Regions from separate parts of the Mus musculus genome. Here all the other regions are reported to be linked to region 1. The links are microRNA targets in miRTarBase. Many come from high-throughput screens and were not tested one by one. Region 1 holds a microRNA gene; each other region holds the end of a gene's coding sequence.
Evidence for each region. The annotated mature microRNA mmu-miR-1960 reads CCAGUGCUGUUAGAAGAGGGCU and lies in region 1 at 2,944-2,965, shown strand. An mRNA with a match to its seed (bases 2 to 7 or 8) in the 3' UTR can be bound and repressed. Matches are read on the target gene's strand: a 7mer-m8 pairs with bases 2 to 8, a 7mer-A1 pairs with bases 2 to 7 and ends in A, and an 8mer does both.

Region 1 (4,563 bases):
GTACAGGCAGTCACTAACATTAAAAACTTACTGGGGAATATTAGCCTCCAGTTTGAAAAAAAATGAGGCCTTTCTTTTCGTATTCATATGGACGATTTGAGATCTTGAAGATATATTACCTTTTAGAGGCAAGGCATAGGGACTGAAGAGATGGCTCAGCAGGACTCAGCAGCACTGGATGTTCTTCCAGAGGAGCTGGGTGCAATTCCCAACCCTGCACTCCAATTCCAGGGGATCCAACACCCTCATACAGACATCCATGCAGGCAAAACATCAATGCAGATAAAACAAAAATAAGTGAATTTTTAAAATGCAAGGCATGAAAGATGTAGTGAGACAGCTCAATGGGTAAAGGTGCTTGCTACCCAACTTGTGACATAAGTACAGTCCCTGGAAAGCTGGGACTTGTACACGTTGTCCCTTGACTTCCCCAAGTATACAAATACACACAACACTAAATGATACCAAAAAAAAAAAAAAAAGAGGGGATGTCTATTTTGTCAGACAGCAAGTTCTGTAGAGGTTTAGGGCTTGTCAGACTTTTTAAGATGACAGATAGCAAAGTCACACTATTTCTTCATATGAACTGATAGACTGACTTGGGAGTAAGATTAGCTGCATTGTCAGCATAAGTTAGACAATCTGTATGCATTTGATTTTTTTAAGTTCTATTGAAACTCTAGGCTTTTGGTTTAAATTATGTTTTCTTTCCCCAGGTATAAAGACCTAATGCCACATGACTTGGCTAGAGCTGCACTTTCGTAAGTAAATCAAGTTTCCTGTTCTTTCAACTTAAAATACTTTTTATAGTTTTTGTACTTGAAGTAGCATGTTTTGTAGAATTTTCATATCTAGGCTGTTAAACTTTACATGGAAAGAAGCAATATTAACTAGCTCTTAGCAAGGTTCTTTGATACAGGGTCTCACCATATAATTCTGATTGACCTGAAACTGACTTATAGACCTGGCTAGCCTTGAACTCAGGGATTCATCTACCTCTGCCTCCCAGTTGTCAAGATTAAAGGTGTATGTCATGATACGATTAAATTTTATTTTAACCATATATGTTAAATTTTAACAGCTTCTGAGTGGCCCCAAGCTTTTTATTTGTTTGTCTGTTTACTGAGTCCAGACCTTGATATATATCTCTGGCTGGCCTGGATTGATTTGTAAGCCAGGGTGCCCTTGGACTTCAGAGAGCTGCCTTCTTCTGCCTCTCCAGTTCTGGTATTAAAGTCATGCATTACCATGTCTGACTTCCTAAATTATCCCACCACGACCCCCAACCCCAGGCAGAGCTGAGGACTGACCAGGGTTTTGCTTCCAATGCAAGTGTTCTATCACTGAGCTAACTCCACCTGCCCGAGTTGGTTTTGATTATTTTTTTCTAATGTCTCATTACCAAGTGGCCATCGAATATTGGCTCTTCATATTACTCTTCACTCATTTTCCTGTTGATAAGCTGTTAAATGTCTGTGTCTGGCCTTTGAAAAGGAAAGACTTGTCTTTGTGTTTTTGTGGAGATTAGGATTGAACCGAGGGCCTTGCATGTACTAAATGAGCACTGTCCTCTGGCCTGTACCTCCAGTGCATGGCTTCCCTGTTTAAAACGTGTAGTGTTTTATGTGATGTTCTCTGGCATACCTTCATGTATGAAGTGTTTCTTTTCTTTGGATTTCTGCTTTTAGGGGTTTGTTGCATCGGACCAATATTCCAAAGGATGTTGTTGATTATATCATCTTTGGTACAGTTATTCAGGAAGTGAAAACAAGCAATGTGGCTAGAGAGGTGAGTAAAGCAAAATTTATATTGTTTACAGAGATTGATAAAGCTGGATATAGTGGCTGATGCTTGTAATATACTCTTGGGAGGATGAGGCAGGAGGATTACCATGGAGTCCAAGGCCTATCTGGGAATTAGTAAATTCCATATTATCTGGGCTATAGTGGGACTTTGTCTCCAAAACAGTGGCAACAGAGCTGGGCTTGGTGATCCACCTTTAATACTCAGAAGGGAGAGGCAAGCAGATCAGTAAGTTTCAGGTCATCCAGGGCTACATAGTGAGACCCTGTCTCCCCCACCATCACACCCTTCCCCAAAATTAGAAAAAGTCTATTTGAATTTGAGTTAATATTTAATAATTTATTTCTTTTGTATGTGCATGTGTTGCTAGAGATCTGACCCAAGGCCTTGCATATGTCAGGCAAGGCAAGTGTTCTACCACTAAGATACATGCCCAGCCTAGAATTTACCATTTTAAAGTCATTAAACTCTTAAGATCCATTAGCTAAGCATGTATTTCACTTAAAATCAGATGATGTATATTATTACTATGTATGCACATTTTGCTGTAGGTCAGATAAATTGTTTGAGTGCTTTAAGAAATGTTAGTTTGTCTCTTGTGTTAGAGAAACAGTATAGCAATATGGCTGATGCTGCTCTTTGTAATGTTAGCCTTCATGGTTTCTAATTAAGCTTGAACAGTGTAGCCAAGTTCATAACTTGGTTTTTGTAGCAGGCGGAAGCCTTACCTATGACTTGCTACCTCTGACTAGATGACACTAGGCAGAGGTTTGTTTTTTTTAATGTAGCTACTTCCTCGGAGTTTACCTTTAACCTAGTTGGCACACATCTAGTGTTTATTGGGCAATGGAGATAATGACAGCCTTGAAACTAATATGAGTATCACACAGGCATTTGACAGTGACTAGTTCAAACCCGTCTTCTGGGCTTTGTTTCAATTATTTGGATAAAGTAGGCTTTCACATATTTATCTTATTTCTTGTCTGTGCTTCTGTGTTCATTATAGTTATGAGGATAATTACTTCCATTGTTAGCCAAGATAGAAGGGCAAATGTGCAGATCAAAGCCATTAGTTCTCTCACACAGTGAATGTTAAAGCAGCTGCAATTCCAGCACTGCCCAAGGTCACAGAGTGAGCAGCCAGTGCTGTTAGAAGAGGGCTGAGAGCAGGGAGAGCTCTCTTCTGCAGCACTGACTTTTCCTCTGCATTGGCACATTTTGAACACACCTAATAAAGAGCTCTGGTGGGTTAGTGAAAAAGGGACAGAAGGTTTGCGGGAGAAAATAGACAGGTAAATCTCAGAAGAGCTACTTATCTTGTTCAACATCGAATGGTTGGATAAATTATGGTTCAACAAAATGATGGAAGATTATTAGTTCATTAAAAACCATATTAGGAAATTTATTTTAAAAAATCATGGCTACATAAAGCCATCGAGTTGATTACAGTGCTTGGAACTTCTGGATCATGGATATGAAGTGACTTTCATAAGACTGAAAAAGTAAATTTCAATTTTCTCTACGTTCTTCTTTTCTCAAACCAAAACCATGGTGTTTTTCTCTGAGTTTTTTTCTGAAAGTTTTACATCTATATGCACATTCCAGCTGTTGATTGGCATGAGGAAGTTTCTTCCCTGGACCTAATACTAATAGCAGTCATGTTGTACGCCACATAATCTCTTATTTTTAAGATGGGCAGGGTTTCACTCTTATGAAGCCCTGGCTGGCCTGGAACTTACTGTGTAGACCAGGGTGGCCCCAAGCTTACAGAGATGCACCTGCCTCCAAAGTACTGAGATTAAAGACCTAAGCCACCTAACTTCCAGGTCATTTTAGTAGCTAAGGAGAAAGGTAGAGGTGATGGGACAAGTAGGAAAATAAGTAGTAAAACGTAAAGTCCCCAGCAAAAGAATTTCACTAGAATCTATGCGCATAGCATATATATATATATTTTTTTTAAAGATTTATTTATTTTATGTAAGTACACTGTAGCTATCCTCAGACACCCCAGAAGAGGGCATCAGATCTCATTACAGATGGTTGTGAGCCACCATGTGGTTGCTGGGGTTTGAACTCAGGACCTTCAAAAGAGCAGTCAGTGCTCTTAACCTCTGAGCCATCTCTTCAGCCCCCGCTAATATATATTTTTAAAGATTATTTATTTATTATGGATACAGTATTCTGCCTGCATGTATGGGTGCATGCCAGAAAAGGGCACCAGATCCCATTATAATTGGTTGTGAACCACCATGTGCTTACTGGGAATTGAACTCAGGACCTCTGGAAGTGCAACCAGTACTCTTTCTTTTCCTCTTCTTTTTTTTAAATTAATTAATTTGTTTATTCACTTTACATCCCATTATCAGCACCCCCTACCTCAGCTCTTCCCACAGTCAGTGCTCTTAACCTCTGAGCATCTCTCCAGCCCACAAGGACCTGTCCTAATATTAATATGAAGTCCTCCTAAAGGGTTATGTGCCCCTATCAGAGCTGACTTTGCTGACAGACCTCAGTGCATTTCTCCTTCAGCTCAGTTTCCTCTTTTCTCCTTGGTGCCTTGAAAGGGATTCAGTCTTTAAATAGAAGAATGTGGACAAGGGTCACCAGCTACCAGTTCTATTTAAAGCTTTGTTAGAACTCTGTGTCAGCTGGGCCAAGGGTAACATGCTGCAGTGACCTCATGAGGATCAAGCTGTTATATGACCTGAGTGCCCTTACCCTTGTCCCACTGTGGAGTCTTTTCTTTTGCTCCCAACACCT
Region 2 (4,563 bases), not on the chromosome of region 1:
CATGGATTCAGTTGAGCCCATTTGTGTGTGTGTGTGTGTGTGTGTGTGTGTGTGTGTGTGTGTGTGTGTAGATGATAAGAGGGTAAAGTCAACATTGTAATTGAACTGCCTCTCACTCTCTGAAATAAGAGGGACAAGACTCCCCAGTCCTAAGGACCTGTAAGAATAAGAAGTGGGCAGAGAAATGCAGCAGATTATCAGCCAAGAAGAATTCCAGCTGGCACCCACTTGTACCCCCTAGAGTCCTCAGGCCAAAGGCTAGCTAGGCCTCCATGCCTTGTCCTGACCATAGTCCCTCTTCTGTCAGGATATTATGGAGCTTGTCTTCATTTGTCGACTCTTCTTTCTGAACCATATGAGCTTCCTTGAAACAAATGGGTCATGGTTGAAAGCAAAGACAGAATGCAGCTGAAGGGAAAGTGGGGTGGTAGAAATGGAAGAAAGTATGAAAGAACCTGGGAAAAGAATTAACAAGAAGATACCAAAGACTGACTCTTCTAACAGCATGAGGCTTCTCTACTCTAATAACACCTGTACTAGCAAGCCTCTTTCCTTCTGTTTGTTTAAAAGTAATTTTACATGTTTCAAAGTAGCTCAATGATCCAAGACAGACAGAAACCAAGGGGAATTGGCTTGACTTCACAAATGTAAAAAGTACATGGCTGAAAGAAAGGATTGGGGCTTGGTAGTGTCCGGCTCCTGAGTTAAGGCACTGCTTCTCAGCAGACTGGAGTAGTCTGCTTCTCAGGGCAAGCTGGTCTGCAGTATATTTTCTCTACAGCCACCCCCTCCTCCTCCCCCTCCATCTCCCCCTCCCTTTAATAGTACCATCAGCATTGATCTCTTTTTCCTAATACAGAGCTCTGTCCTCCTTAGATTCTCTGTGGGAAAGAGATTCCTCGCTGGATCAACCGGCTGGCCTACTTCAGCTCCTGTATACCCTTTCTACAGAGTTGCCTGCCAAAGGAGTGGCTCACTCCTGCTGCACTTCAGTCTAGTGTCAGCCAAGAACTCCAGGATGAACTAGAAGAAGCAGAGGATGCAGCCGCATCCAGTGCCATGGCAAGTGCTGCAGCTGGTGCCAGAACTGGGCGTCACACTAAACTATAAGACCTCTGAAGTCAGGCCTTCAGAACTGTCTCTGGCAGTTGAGTATCACTAGAGAAAAAGAAAATAGAGTTAAATGTCCTTTGGATATTTTGTATGCAAAGATGGCTCTCCCCCAAATCCCAGTTTTTCAGCTCAGGATTATATTTGTAATCAAAAACAAAAAAACAAAAAAGAAGAAAAATAGCTTGGCGCAGGAGGGAGAACTTTGTATGAAGCTGCCCTCTTTTCTTTTCTTTTTAACCCACTTGTAAATTTGGATTCACTTCCTCTGTTTTATACGAGCTCTGTTAAATTACGTTTACAGTATTTTGTACCACTGTTTACAAATCTTGCATGGACTTCTGCCACCATGAAAGAAGAATATCCTCATCTTCAAATATTAGGCAGATGATCTTTGTACACTTCCTGACAGTTGCCAGAGCTACAGCATAGGTAGTAGGCACAAGGAAAGGCTTCCACAGCCGCAGTCCTCATCGCTGCTTACAAGCTGTCCCGGAGATCTGTATTTGTTTTGTTACCAATGTTGGCACCCAGATACCGGAATCCAAACTGGCCTGACATGAAGGAGCACACACACAGCCAGAGGGCTTGGGTCCTGGTCAGTTCCTCTCCACACCCTTCTTCCCATTCTGAGTAGCACATTTCCCAAGGTGCCCGTGGAGCAGCTGGTCTCACCCCAGATATGCCCACCTCAGCAGGGTGGTACTCTTGTATCTGCCTGGCTTGATGCCTCTGATTCTTTAATGAAGATACTCTTATAACTGATGAGTGTTTTTGCACATGTGTTAGGAGAGGGGCTTCATTTTATTTTAATACATTCTAACTCCTCCCTGTACAGGATATTTTGGTGGGGTGGGAGTATCCTAACCTAGCTTCCTGAGCAGCAGTACAAGCTGACACTGAACTGCTTTTTAAACTAGCCAGGCTACCTTTTGTACTGGATATTGAAACCTAGAATCTAAAACACACCCCAAAGGTAATTCTTTAATAGTTTGTGTACACCGTATCAGAAATGGCTTATTGGAGTTTCTTAGTTCATGATGGGAGTAGCCGCACCTCATAATAGAGATTCTATTTTCATTGATATCTTGTTGAAAATTATACTTTTGTGTGTCTTAAATTCATTTTTTTATGTTCTCAAATGTATCTCTCTTACATAACATACTCTTGGGAATGAGGTTGTGCTACAGAGAAGTCTTAGTGAGGAAGTCATCTGTTAGAGTCCAACCCCAGTTGACCCTTGGATGTAGAACCAATCATTACATGTCACAATCAATGTTCTGCCTTAAGAGTGAGTGTCCTGTGTAAGTAGTGGATACAACATAGGAACATCCAAGGTACTGACTGCAGCTTTAGATACGTGATTAGTGTGAGAGTCACATTCTCTGTGTGAAGATACATGTCTTTGAGTAAATTTCATCTTTAATTTTTCCATGAGCTGATTTTGATTGATACTTTTTAACGTAAGCACACCCTCTTTATAGGGAAAGTAAACCTTGAGTTATTTAACACTGGCCTGAGGAAAACGAAGTCACTTTGTACTGTTTGACTGTTCTGTTTCCAGAGAAGAAAGCTGCTGCAAGTTACTCTACCCGTGCCGGGTGGGGCAGAGCATTTGTTTCAGGAACGGTGCAGCAAGACAGAATATGTGGTCTTTATGAAGAGTCAACTTAGTTCAGGTCTGAAAATGAGACTTAGGACAAAACACTAATGCTCCCCAAGAGGTGTCACCACGAGAGCCCAAGCCCTCAGCCCAGCTTGGTAAGAAAGAGATGCTTGGTACAGTTGACTTGGGTTTTTGTTGTTGTTGTTGTTTTATTAATAGTGTGGATCATGGTGTTTTCTAATCCATTGAGATATAAATGTTTTGACCCAAGGGAGTGGCCCCTCAGTTAGACACTTCTGGGTAAATAGCCAGGTACATCTCTGTGCTTACCCTCATTTCAGCAGCTCAGCACACAAGTGACTTGCTGTTCTCATGCCTGACTGGGACATTTGACGTTTGAAGAAATGTAAAAGTCTTCTAGGAAATAAACAGCTCATGTGCAGGTCACCTGAGAGTCAGGACACAAGATTCCTTGCACTTTGGTGTCCCTGAGGTTGGAAGGAAGAAAATCTCTTTAGTGAGACCAACCTTCTCCACAGTGTAGATTAGCAATGGATTAATTAACTTTGCTTTTCTTGCCCTCAGAAGGTAACAATGAGTTCTCCACATGAACTCATAAGAAAAACCACAAGTCAGAACTCCAGTCATGAATTTACATGAGTTTACATATTTTGTAGTTGTAACCAAGTGAAACTGTTTCTTCTGGTAGGTGTTTGAACAATAATAGCAGTAATAGATCAGATAGTTGGTTTCTGGTGCTTGTTTTAAATATGCTTGGGCTTTTTAAATCCTCATTGGTGGCATTGGCTTTAGAAGTGTGACTTGTGAGGCTGTAGAAAGTGGTGACTGTCCTAGAGCACCTCCAGGCCTGAACTCCGGCCAACTATTGCTCTGCTTCACAGCAATAGCATACCTACCATCACCAGCATCTTACAGAGCAGGGAATTCCAGGGTTAGTCCATTGATAGCCGTGTGTGTGTGTGTGTGTGTGTGTGTGTGTGTGTGTGTGTGTGTGTGTGTGTGTAGATTAAGCACTGCAGACAGCTGCAGGACTCTGTTTCCATGGCTTCTTCCATCATAAGTCGGGTAGAACCATGTTCACTGCTTCACAGCTCTAACCCATGTGTTGTCTTATGGCTCCATTATATATTTACTATAGCTTTGGTGTATGCTATGTTTTCTTTTTAAATGACTAATGTTAAAAGTTAGTTTTTCAGCAGTTAGCCATCCTCTCATTACATCTTATTCTTGCCGGTATGGTTTGAGAGTGTAGCTTGATTGTTAGACTTTCATTGTCTGCTCAGTCTATTCACACACATCTCCACTGTCAACAAGTGGGACAGCTGTCAACAAATCTTCATGGATCTGAAGAGAATTTCTGTGAAGTTGAATGCAAGTGTACTGTCATTCACAGTGTTTATAAAACACCAGGAACCTTCACTTTTGCTACCTTGATATAGAATTGGACTATCATGTTACAACATTGAAATACATCAATTTATTAAAAACTACTTTTATAAGAAATGTTTTATAGTTCTTTCTGACCTCTAAGAGACAACACTGTTCTGTATTTTGTGCTGGGAAGGGGTTATTTGTACAATCCAAGAGTTCGATCTGCTCTGCAGGAATGTGGCCAGCCCCGTCTGTACCATGTCTTGTATTCACTGTTTCCCTTACTCAAACAATAATTACTCTTGTGCTCAGCCCCTGGGCCAACACATTAGCTATCAAGGAGTGCACAAGCGACAAGTAGCAGCCCAGATTTCTGGGGAACGGAGGCAAACTGTGCTGACTGGAAGGCTTTCCCCATCTCCTTTCAGCGGTTGAGCCTGTGTGCTTATGTTCAT
Region 3 (4,563 bases), not on the chromosome of region 1:
GGACCCAATTCTCAGATCTGTCCACTGGACTGGGTGGGTCCCAGATGTTAACTCCATACGGTTGTTTGTCCATGGCATGAAGGCCCTTCCAGGTGGGCATCCACGCAGGGCAATTCCAGAGGTGGACCATGGAGTTTGTCATGTTCAGATGCTGGTGCCTACAGTAGGGAATGGCTTTGGGGCGTGTGTGTGTGTGTGTGTGTGTGTGTGTGTGTGTGTGTGTGTGTAGCATGGCCTCATGCGGCATGAAGCAGCAGCAGCTGCACCCCACCTTCAGCCCTCCCTGGACCAGAAAGGAAGGTAGGAAGGGACAGACGGTTCTTGGTGAACGTGAGCCTGGTCTGACTTCCGCTCCCTCGTGGAGATATTTAATCTGCACACCCCTCCCCGCATTGCATGCTACAAAGGCAGGGCTCAGCATGTGCTCTTCCAGCTGTGACAGTCCAGGCTGACCGAGGGGCAGTCTCTTACCTCAAGGATTCTAAGTCCAACTCACTGGCCAACACAACTGCCCAGGAGCCACCTGAGCCCCCACAAAGTGCTCAAATTTCATCAGTGACTGTCCATAAGAGAAAGCAGGCACAGGCCAAGGTAGAGGCAGTCTTTGTCCAATAGCCCCCAGGGCCCGGACAGAATGGGTGCTGCCCCACCACAGGGCTGGTATAAATAGGTGGAGCTCAAGCCCAGACATAGTTGTGTGAGGCATTCTTCTATTCGGGGCTGGCCTATATGATCAGACAGAGCCAGCCAGCCATGGTCCTGCTCAGGTATGTCCCATCTGCTCCATCCAAACCAATCTTTGTGTTTCCCATTGCTCCTCAGAGCATTTGTGTGTTCCAGCCTCAGCTCTGTGCACCCCTTAGGGGGTTGGGACAGGTTTTCACTTGAATGATCTGCCTCCCTCTTGACTCCCTTCCCTACCCTGGCAGAGACACAGCTTAGCTGGGCAGGGTGGTCTCCAGGCTGTTTGGGACTGGGCTGGTCTCTAGAACAAACACAGGACTTCAGCCAGAGGGCAAGCGTTAGCCATACCTCTGGATATAAGGCTCAGGTGGGAGGGGAGATCCTGCAGCACGCCACCCCTCTTCCCGGAATGAGTCTATAACCAACCCCCACCCCCACTGCCGTCACCCAGTGGTCATTACCTCTCTGAACACCCTTCCCACCAACCACACCCCGTCCCTTCTCCCATCACAGTCTACATATGTGCATAGCCTCGAAAGAACATGACACGTCTGCAGTGTCATGCACAAAAGCACATGTGTGATATGAACATGGAGGTGGGTGTGTGTTATAAAATGGTATTGGACAACAGAAGACAGTGGTTAAAGACTACAGCGGATGAGAACGGAGTTGACAATGGTTTCATGAGGATCCTGTCAGTAGGGGTGATTTAAGGAAGGAAGGAAGGAAGGCAGGAAGGAAGGAAGGCAGGCAGGAAGGAAGGAAGGAAGGAAGGAAGGAAGGAAGGAAGGAAGGAAGGAAGAATTTTTCCCCTCTCAACAGGACACTCTATGAACAGCAAAGGAGAAGGCATCACCCCAGAAGGTGAGCCCCAGAAGGTGTCTCCCTGTGCATTTTCCCATGGAGCCCTCAGGAAAGCTGTGGCCAGTGATCCCTCCCATAGCAGGCATGCTGACACATCCTGGTACCCTGCCGTACTAACTGCTCTGCTGCCTCAACGCAGGATTTGAATTGGAACTTAGGTACATGTCTGCACATACATGGGTATGAGTACACACACACACACATACACACACACACACACACACACACTCACTCATTCCATTTTTACGACTCCTCCTGTATAGCACACACCCACCCAATGGGCACAGCAGTCTGGTCTGCCCTCCCGTGCTGTCTTCAGGGCACACAAGCCTGCACACAAATGTGGATGCACACGAGTGTGGATGTACACGCACTCACACAAGGATCTCTGATGACATGGCTTCTCCTTTTACAAGTATTTGGCTATACTTCAGGCTGTGTCCTGGTCCCTACCCTCTGCCATTCAGTGCACACACACACACACACACACACACACACACACACACACACACACACACACATTTATTCACGCTTGCATCCATTATACACTCACCAGAGCCCCATCTCCACATGGCTTCTCCTGTTTTTACATAGATGAGACTCTGTTACCGGTCCTGATTGAGCTCTTTGCTACCCGTTTCTCTCTCTCTCTCTCTCTCTCTCTCTCACACACACACACACACACACACACACACACACACACACACACTCGTCCTAAAGGAGGCCCCTATTCCTGCCTGCTAGGGCTGTGTTATATCTGTCCTTCATCACCAGCGGCTGGAACTCACACACAGAAAGTCAAACACGCAGACATGTGTGCTCTCCTCTCCCGGGCCAGCGTGGCTTCTCCTATCATCATGTGCACTGGGCTTGGCTGCGAGTCTCCCCTTTCCTCCCTCCCCCAGTGCAGCCAGCCAGCCAGAGCTCCCAAGAACCGGCATGGTGGGAGTGATCACATGTGCCCATCATGGGGGCCACCCCGTTGGCTGAAGGGGTTCCTTCACCTCTGCTGAGAAGACTTAAGCTCTAGATGTAGCTCATCCAAGCCTGCCCCCTCCAGCAGCACCAGAAAAGTGAGGGATTGTGGGTGACTGGTGTCCCCCAGTTCTCAGTTCTCAACCCATATTGCTCACCCTGGTCCCTGATCAGAGACCAACATCCATCCAGCTGTGGAGGCCCCTATGGCCCTGTCATGCTCTCTGTAAGGACACTTTTTGCCTAACCCCTCACATCTGATCCTTTCCAATGACCATGACGGTTTCAAACCTCCAGAGATGGAACCACAGGCCATCTGCTCATCCCTTTGGCTGTCACCTTCTCTGGCTTCTCCTCTGGGGTCTCCCTTCAATCCCCTAAGACCATAGCTGCTCCAGAAAAGAGATCAGGGGCCAGAATGGCCTTGTGTCTCTGTGTTGGGTCTTTGGTTAATCTTCCAGGAGGCAGCTACTCCCTTCCTACCCTGGGGGCCTCTGGAGGTCTTATATCCTGTCCCTGAAAGCTTTCTTTCTTTAGGGGGCTCATTAGGTTGGGCGTACCCAGAAAGTTCTTCAGGTCCCCTCTGGCTTCTCCCACCTACCCCAAAGTTAGTCTGTGGAGGGGGGACAGCAATTCCTCTTCTGAGGAGCTGTTGACTTGGCTTGCGCTTCAGCTGAGACCGCTCTTCTCTTCTCAGGATGACAGAGGGAGGCCAAATTCAAATGGCCGGGGACAGGAAATCGCCAATGAGTAGATGGTAGAGAACCCAGGGTCCCGACTGCTGGCTTGTTTGCCAGCAAAGTTGGTCTATTGGTTGAAGGGCCTGTGGGATTTTTATAGAGTCCATATTTCTTCTGCTGGCCTACCAATGTCAACTGAGTCTTTGGACGTTCCTTGTGAGGGAGGGCACCTTCTCTGTTCTGTGCAGCCTTGGAGAACAATCTGCTGTGATGACGACCTCGTTCGCATTCCTGGGGACTCTCGAGACGTTTGTGGCTCAGGACACTGACCCGAAGCATCTGAGATCACAGTCTCCATCTGTGTTTCCTTCTCCCGTACCAAACACCTCCTTTCCACACAGCTTTTCATGTTGCCAAGGGGCTGCTGCTGTTGGTGAAGCCATATTGAGATGAGCAGACCCAGGTGAATAGCCCTTAAGGGCTGAAGCGTTGCTTCTGTCCAGGTATGGATGACTGCCTTTGAGCTCCCACTGGCAGCCTCATCCAAACACCCATAAGGTGTCCCGAGTCGGAGTCTCTGCTCTCGTGGCTGCGTGCTAGAAGGCCTGGCTTGAGGGGAATGAGGGGAGCTTTAGAGCCATCTTCCGTGTTCTGCGGCCTCGGCAGAGGCCTGCCAGAAATACCTGGCTATGGAGGAGAAGAGAGATGGTTGGTGATGGAGCCTGAGAGGCATGTGCTTCCGCTGGCCTTCACAGCTTCAGAAAGCCATAGACAAGACAAGAGGAGATGAAGCCCGAGCAGCCGGCCGAGGGTCCGTGTGGGTTTCCCGGTAGGTTAAGAGCTGATGGTTCACAGCTGGATGCGGCCAGCAGCTCCATCCCCAAGGCCAGCACGAGATGAGGATGTCCGTCCTTTCGGGTCTCCTTTGCCTTCCTCTGCGTGGACTGGGCCTGAAGTCCCCGCTGGACCCATGTCTAGGGGAAGACAGGGGCTAGCGAGGTGCTGCAGCTCATGCTGTCCTTGCCTGGCAGCCTTCGGTCATTAAAGGTGTGCATGTTGATAACCGCATCCGTCTTGACCATCATAGGAGGCTGGGGCTTGTGCTTGAGACGCCGTTGGCAGGTGAGGGAGAAGCGGATCTCGTCGGCCACTGTGCTGCAGAAGGAGCGCTGGGGAGGGACAAGAGGCAGAGTGAGACAGATCCTCTCCTCCTGACACTAAGACAAGACTACCTGTGGCTTTTTACACCTACAGCCCTGCCAAGGTCTTGAGAGCCCTAGAAAGATGACTGGAAAGTCCTCTGTAGACTGGGGGGGAAGGGGGGCAGATGGCATCATCTTTCTGTTTCACAGCAGCCTAA
Region 4 (4,563 bases), not on the chromosome of region 1:
ATTTGGTAACCCCAAAGCATCCCTTTCTGGTCTATTAAAATTATGGGGAAACTTTATGCATGCTTATGGGAAGCCCTAGTGGTGTGTCTGCAGGATGTGAGAGTGAGTAAGTGCTGAGGAGGAGGTTAGAATACCCCGCGCATCCCTCCACTGTGTTCTGGTGAACTTTAAATGCCAATTTGACACAACCCAGAATTTCAGGGGAACAGAATCTCAACTGAGGCGTTATCTACATCAGACTGACCAGCGGGCATGTCTCCAGGGAGTCTTCTTGATTGATGATGCTTTCTTAGGCAGCACCATCCCCCTAGGCAGGAGGTCCCAGGCTGTATTAGAAAGCTAGCTGAGCATTAGCCACACTTGCCAGTCAGTAAGCAACATCTTTCATGGTCCCTGCCAAACTTCTCTGGGTGTGAAGCGAGTTCCTTTGTCATATGTGTGGAATAGCAAGCAGGCAACATGGACACATTCATCTCTCATGACTGTGGACATGACGTGAGCAGCTGTCTCAGGCTCCCGCCACCGTGGTTTCCCTCTGTGATGGACTGACCGTACCCTGGAATTGTAAGCCAAATAGACTTTCCCGTCCCTACCTTGTCTTTTGGATAAAGTGTTTTATCTCAGCAATAGAACAGAAACTAGAACACATTGCTGGGGTGATTTGCAGCATCATGAGGGAAATCCATCTTTCAAGACCTTCTAGAGAGTGGGTCTTGAATGTGCATAGCTAAGGTGGTGGGCCATGAACAATAGCAAGGTCTCAGAGTGCACAGTAATCAAAAAGTAATTAGGAATCAAAAGGTGCAGTGCCTTTAAGCTGTTCCTGGCAGTGCACACTCTGGCCTCGTCACATAACTAACTCTGCCTCAGTCTTGGTTCTGATCACCACCCTACCCTACACACCTACCTACACAGCAAGGAACAGCTGTCTGTAACTCCAGGCCCTGGGATCTGATGCTTCTTTTGGTCTCCAAAGGCAACACACACACACACACACATATATATACATACACACACACACACACACACACACACACACACACGGTACACAGATATACATGCAGGCACTCCCATAAAATAAAAATAAAAACTTGGTATTTGAGTTGCTGAATTAAATCTTGACAAAACCAAACGACTGCTCCAGCCGGGGATTTAGTTGATTAGAACACACGAAGCCCTGAATTTTGTGGTCAGCACTGCATAAATCATGCATTATGGCACATCCTCAACTCCCGAGCAAATAGGAGGCCAACCTGGGGTACAGGAGAGACCCTGTTTCAAAAAATAGACACCAAAACAAAAACAACAAACAAAAAAATAAACACAAAAAAATTGTTAAGTGAATTTGGGCTTGGGATTAGGGCCTGTGTTTTGAATGGCCTTAAATATACTTCTATCATTTTGTCCCATGTGATTATATAAAGAGGCATTCTCAGTACTGATGACTATAAAATCAAATTATCAATAGCTATGAAAAACATCGAAGATGCTCTGTGTTCTTCGGGATCTTATACTTAGCCAATATTTAACCATCCCCCGACTCTTCCCCTGTCTGCTTTTAGAGAGTTTCTCCGGTAGCCCGGCTGACCTTGAAATCACTTTGTAAATAAGGATGCCTTTGAACTCCTGATCCTTGTGTCTCGACTTCTCAACTGCTAGGATTACAGGCATGCAACAGCATACCTACCTGACTAAGTTTAAATCTCTTTAAAATAAGCATGGTGTATAGAAATTTGCTTTAATTTTTAATAACTTGTAAAAGTTACATATGTATATCAAATAATACTTTTTGTTTGTTTGTTTGTTTGGTTTATCAAGACAGTTTCTCTGTGTTGCCCTGGCTGTTCTGAAACTCACACAATAGACTAGGCTGTCCTTGAACTCAGATCCATTTGCCTCTGACCCACAAGTGTTCAGATTGACGGGGTGCGCCACCACCACAGGACAAATAATCTGTTTTAAAATAAATTGTTTTATTATCAGTGTTTGATTTGTATAACTGTTTTATACTCCCCAAAGCCTAAGGCCATGTAAAAATATCTTGGCAGAAAAGAAGTCGTAAGTAGAGAGTTTTAGAAGCCTTGCTTTAATGGATTCGTTTATATTCCATATCCATGATACTTTCCTGTCCCATGGGAAACTACAGAAGAAGGCAAGTCTTTGCTGGGAATTGGGAATGAGGGAGGCAACACCTTATGCACAATCCCATGGTCCAGACTGGACTGTTTTTACAGTACCTGGGAGATGCTGATCCAAAAGGGCCAAAAGAATGGCACCAGGCACGGTGGCTCACTCATTTAATCCCAGCACTCAGGAGGCTGAGGCAGGCAAATCTCTCTGAGTTTGAGGCCAGCCTGGTCTACACAGTGAGCTCCTAGCCAGCCAAAGCTATATAGTGAAAGTCTGTCTCACCAGGGGCTGGAGAGGTGGCTCAGCAGTTAAGAGCACTCACTGACTGCTCTTCCAGAGGTCCTGAGTTCAATTCCCAGCAACCACATGGTGACTCATAACCATCTGTAATGGGATCTGATGCCCTCTTCTGGTGTGTCTGAAGACAGCTACAGTATATTCATATACATTAAATAAATAAATAAGTATTTTTTAAAAATTGCACATGCCTTTGGTTACAGTGATGATGCACTGGTGGGCACAGCTCACGTGGACCAGGGAATCAATGTGGACCTGCCTGGTCATGCTAACCAAGGACACAGGCTCTCAGTTAGCTGGATTCACTCAGGCTGGGGGCACAAAGAGAGAAATGACAGAAACCTTGATGAGTGCGGAGGCCTTAGGGCTGAGCATCGGTTCCTGTTGATGGTGGGAGGTGAAGTGACAGCAGATCTCTTGTGTTGCCATACTATACGGGATGTGTGACTGGAAGCCCCAGGTTGCACTGCTACTCCTTACAAATGTGATGTTTGAGTACTTGGTAATGAAAGAAAGGAAACTAAATTCAAGACTTTAAAGCCCTAGCCAGAAAGTTTATTCAAGGTCCATGTCTCATGTGACTTGCTAGTTAGGGGGCTTTTTGGGCTTAGAGCAAAGAACAAAGGCTGTAAAGCCATCCCAGGAACCAACTAGCCTTTGAGATAAGAGAGGCACACAAGGACAATCTCTGGACAAGCTCAAGATGAGTAAGGGACCACTTGCTGATATGTTTTGGGTTTTAGCCAGATGTCCTGCCAACCAAGATAGACACCCTCCCTTTAGAGTTACTCTCTGATGTTTAAATTGCACATTTGTGTGTAACTGTGCCAATTCTTCCCCTACCCCACTCCTTTCCTATATAAACCCCTAACTTTTGAGGCCAACATCCGTTATCTCCTGTGTGGGATGCATGTAGGTCCAGAGCTCCATCATTAAACTGCCTCATGTGACTACAGCAAGATGGATTCTCGTGTTTCTTTGGGTGCTCTCTCACTCTTGAGACTAGAGTGGGGGTCCCCGAAAGGGGGTCTTACAGTCACAGTTGGTGGAACTCTTTGGGGACATTAGGAGAAGCAGCCATGCTGGAAGAGGCGAATCACCAGGGGTGGGCTTTAAGGTTTCCAAAGCCTGCTGAGCCATTTTTATTCAGCATTCTCTGTCTCATGCTCCTGGTCAGCTACTGCTCCAGCGCCATGCCTGATTGACTGCTGTCGCGTTCCCTTCCATAGGGTCACAGACTCTAAGCCCCCAATAAACTCTTCTAAAAGTTGCCTTGGTCATGGTTGTCTTATCACATCAAGGAGAAAAACAACCAGACAGATGGTGAACACCAAACAATAGAAACTGCTATGGCGCTGTAACTCCCTGCCATCCTCAGAACATTTACAAAGACAATATTGTTTGTCCACACACCTTTTATTTTTTAAAGGTTTAATTTTATGTATGTAGGTGCTTTAGCTGCATTCATGCCTACATTCATGAGACATGAACTGTTTGTTACTAGTAACAGACACCTGCCATGTCAGTGCTAGGAATTGAACCCCGGTCTCCCTTGTGCCTCAGGTCCAGTCCCAGGCCCCCAGGGATTTTCATTCATTCATTCATTCATTTATTTATTTATTTATTTATTTATTTATTTATTTATTTATTATATGTAAGTACATTGTAGCTGTCTTCAGACACTCCAGAAGAGGGAGTCAGATCTCGTTACGGATGGTTGTGAGCCACCATGTGGTTGCTGGGATTTGAACTCTGGACCTTCAGAAGAGCAGTCAGTGCTCTTACCCACTGAGCCATCTCACCAGCCCCCCCAGGGATTTTCATGCCTTCTGAGGCCAGTCAGAGGTCTGGAAGCTCTTGCTGCCTGCAGTAGAAGAGATAACAAGGCACACAGAGGAGACAGAGAGGATGTGGCAAGAGGAGATTATGGGCTGGAACAAATCCCAGCTCCATCCTGAGAGCCTCAGGGACAAGGGTGTCCCCTGCCCCTCTCTCGCACTTACCTAGAACATGAGCATAGCATCCTTTTACACCTGTGAGAAGAAAAGCCATGAGAGACCAGAGAAACACCAGCCCTAGGGAGTTCCCGGAACTGACAGCTGACCCAGTTGGAGACTGCAGCAATGTGGGTGTGGC

Region 2: miRTarBase lists Desi2 as a target of mmu-miR-1960. Seed matches in the 3' UTR shown: 7mer-m8 at 3,747-3,753.
Region 3: the mRNA of Grik3 is a reported target of mmu-miR-1960. Seed matches in the 3' UTR shown: 7mer-A1 at 2,012-2,018.
Region 4: miRTarBase lists H2-T23 as a target of mmu-miR-1960. Seed matches in the 3' UTR shown: 8mer at 4,200-4,207.

Annotation. Positions count from the first base shown.
Region 1 is chr5:30,167,808-30,172,370 of GRCm38, forward strand. Mir1960 (microRNA 1960) reads left to right here and starts at 2,932; the gene lies at 2,932-3,009. It overlaps Hadhb (hydroxyacyl-CoA dehydrogenase trifunctional multienzyme complex subunit beta), which reads left to right. Exons shown (of 16, transcript NM_145558.2): 5 at 717-761; 6 at 1,689-1,788.
Region 2 is chr1:178,248,359-178,252,921 of GRCm38, forward strand. It overlaps Desi2 (desumoylating isopeptidase 2), which reads left to right. Exons shown (of 5, transcript NM_024282.3): 5 at 877-4,240. The coding sequence ends at 1,110. Among named protein-coding and RNA genes, the nearest start is that of Gm46174, 50 kb to the right of the region's middle.
Region 3 is chr4:125,707,706-125,712,268 of GRCm38, reverse strand. It overlaps Grik3 (glutamate receptor, ionotropic, kainate 3), which reads right to left. Exons shown (of 16, transcript NM_001081097.3): 16 at 1-4,372. The coding sequence ends at 4,178. Among named protein-coding and RNA genes, the nearest start is that of Gm40249, 130 kb to the left of the region's middle.
Region 4 is chr17:36,025,941-36,030,503 of GRCm38, forward strand. H2-T23 (histocompatibility 2, T region locus 23) reads right to left here. Exons shown (of 7, transcript NM_010398.3): 6 at 4,431-4,460; 7 at 4,037-4,291. The coding sequence ends at 4,248. All of the region lies in intron 1 of A930015D03Rik (RIKEN cDNA A930015D03 gene), which reads left to right. Among named protein-coding and RNA genes, the nearest start is that of H2-T23, 4.5 kb to the right of the region's middle.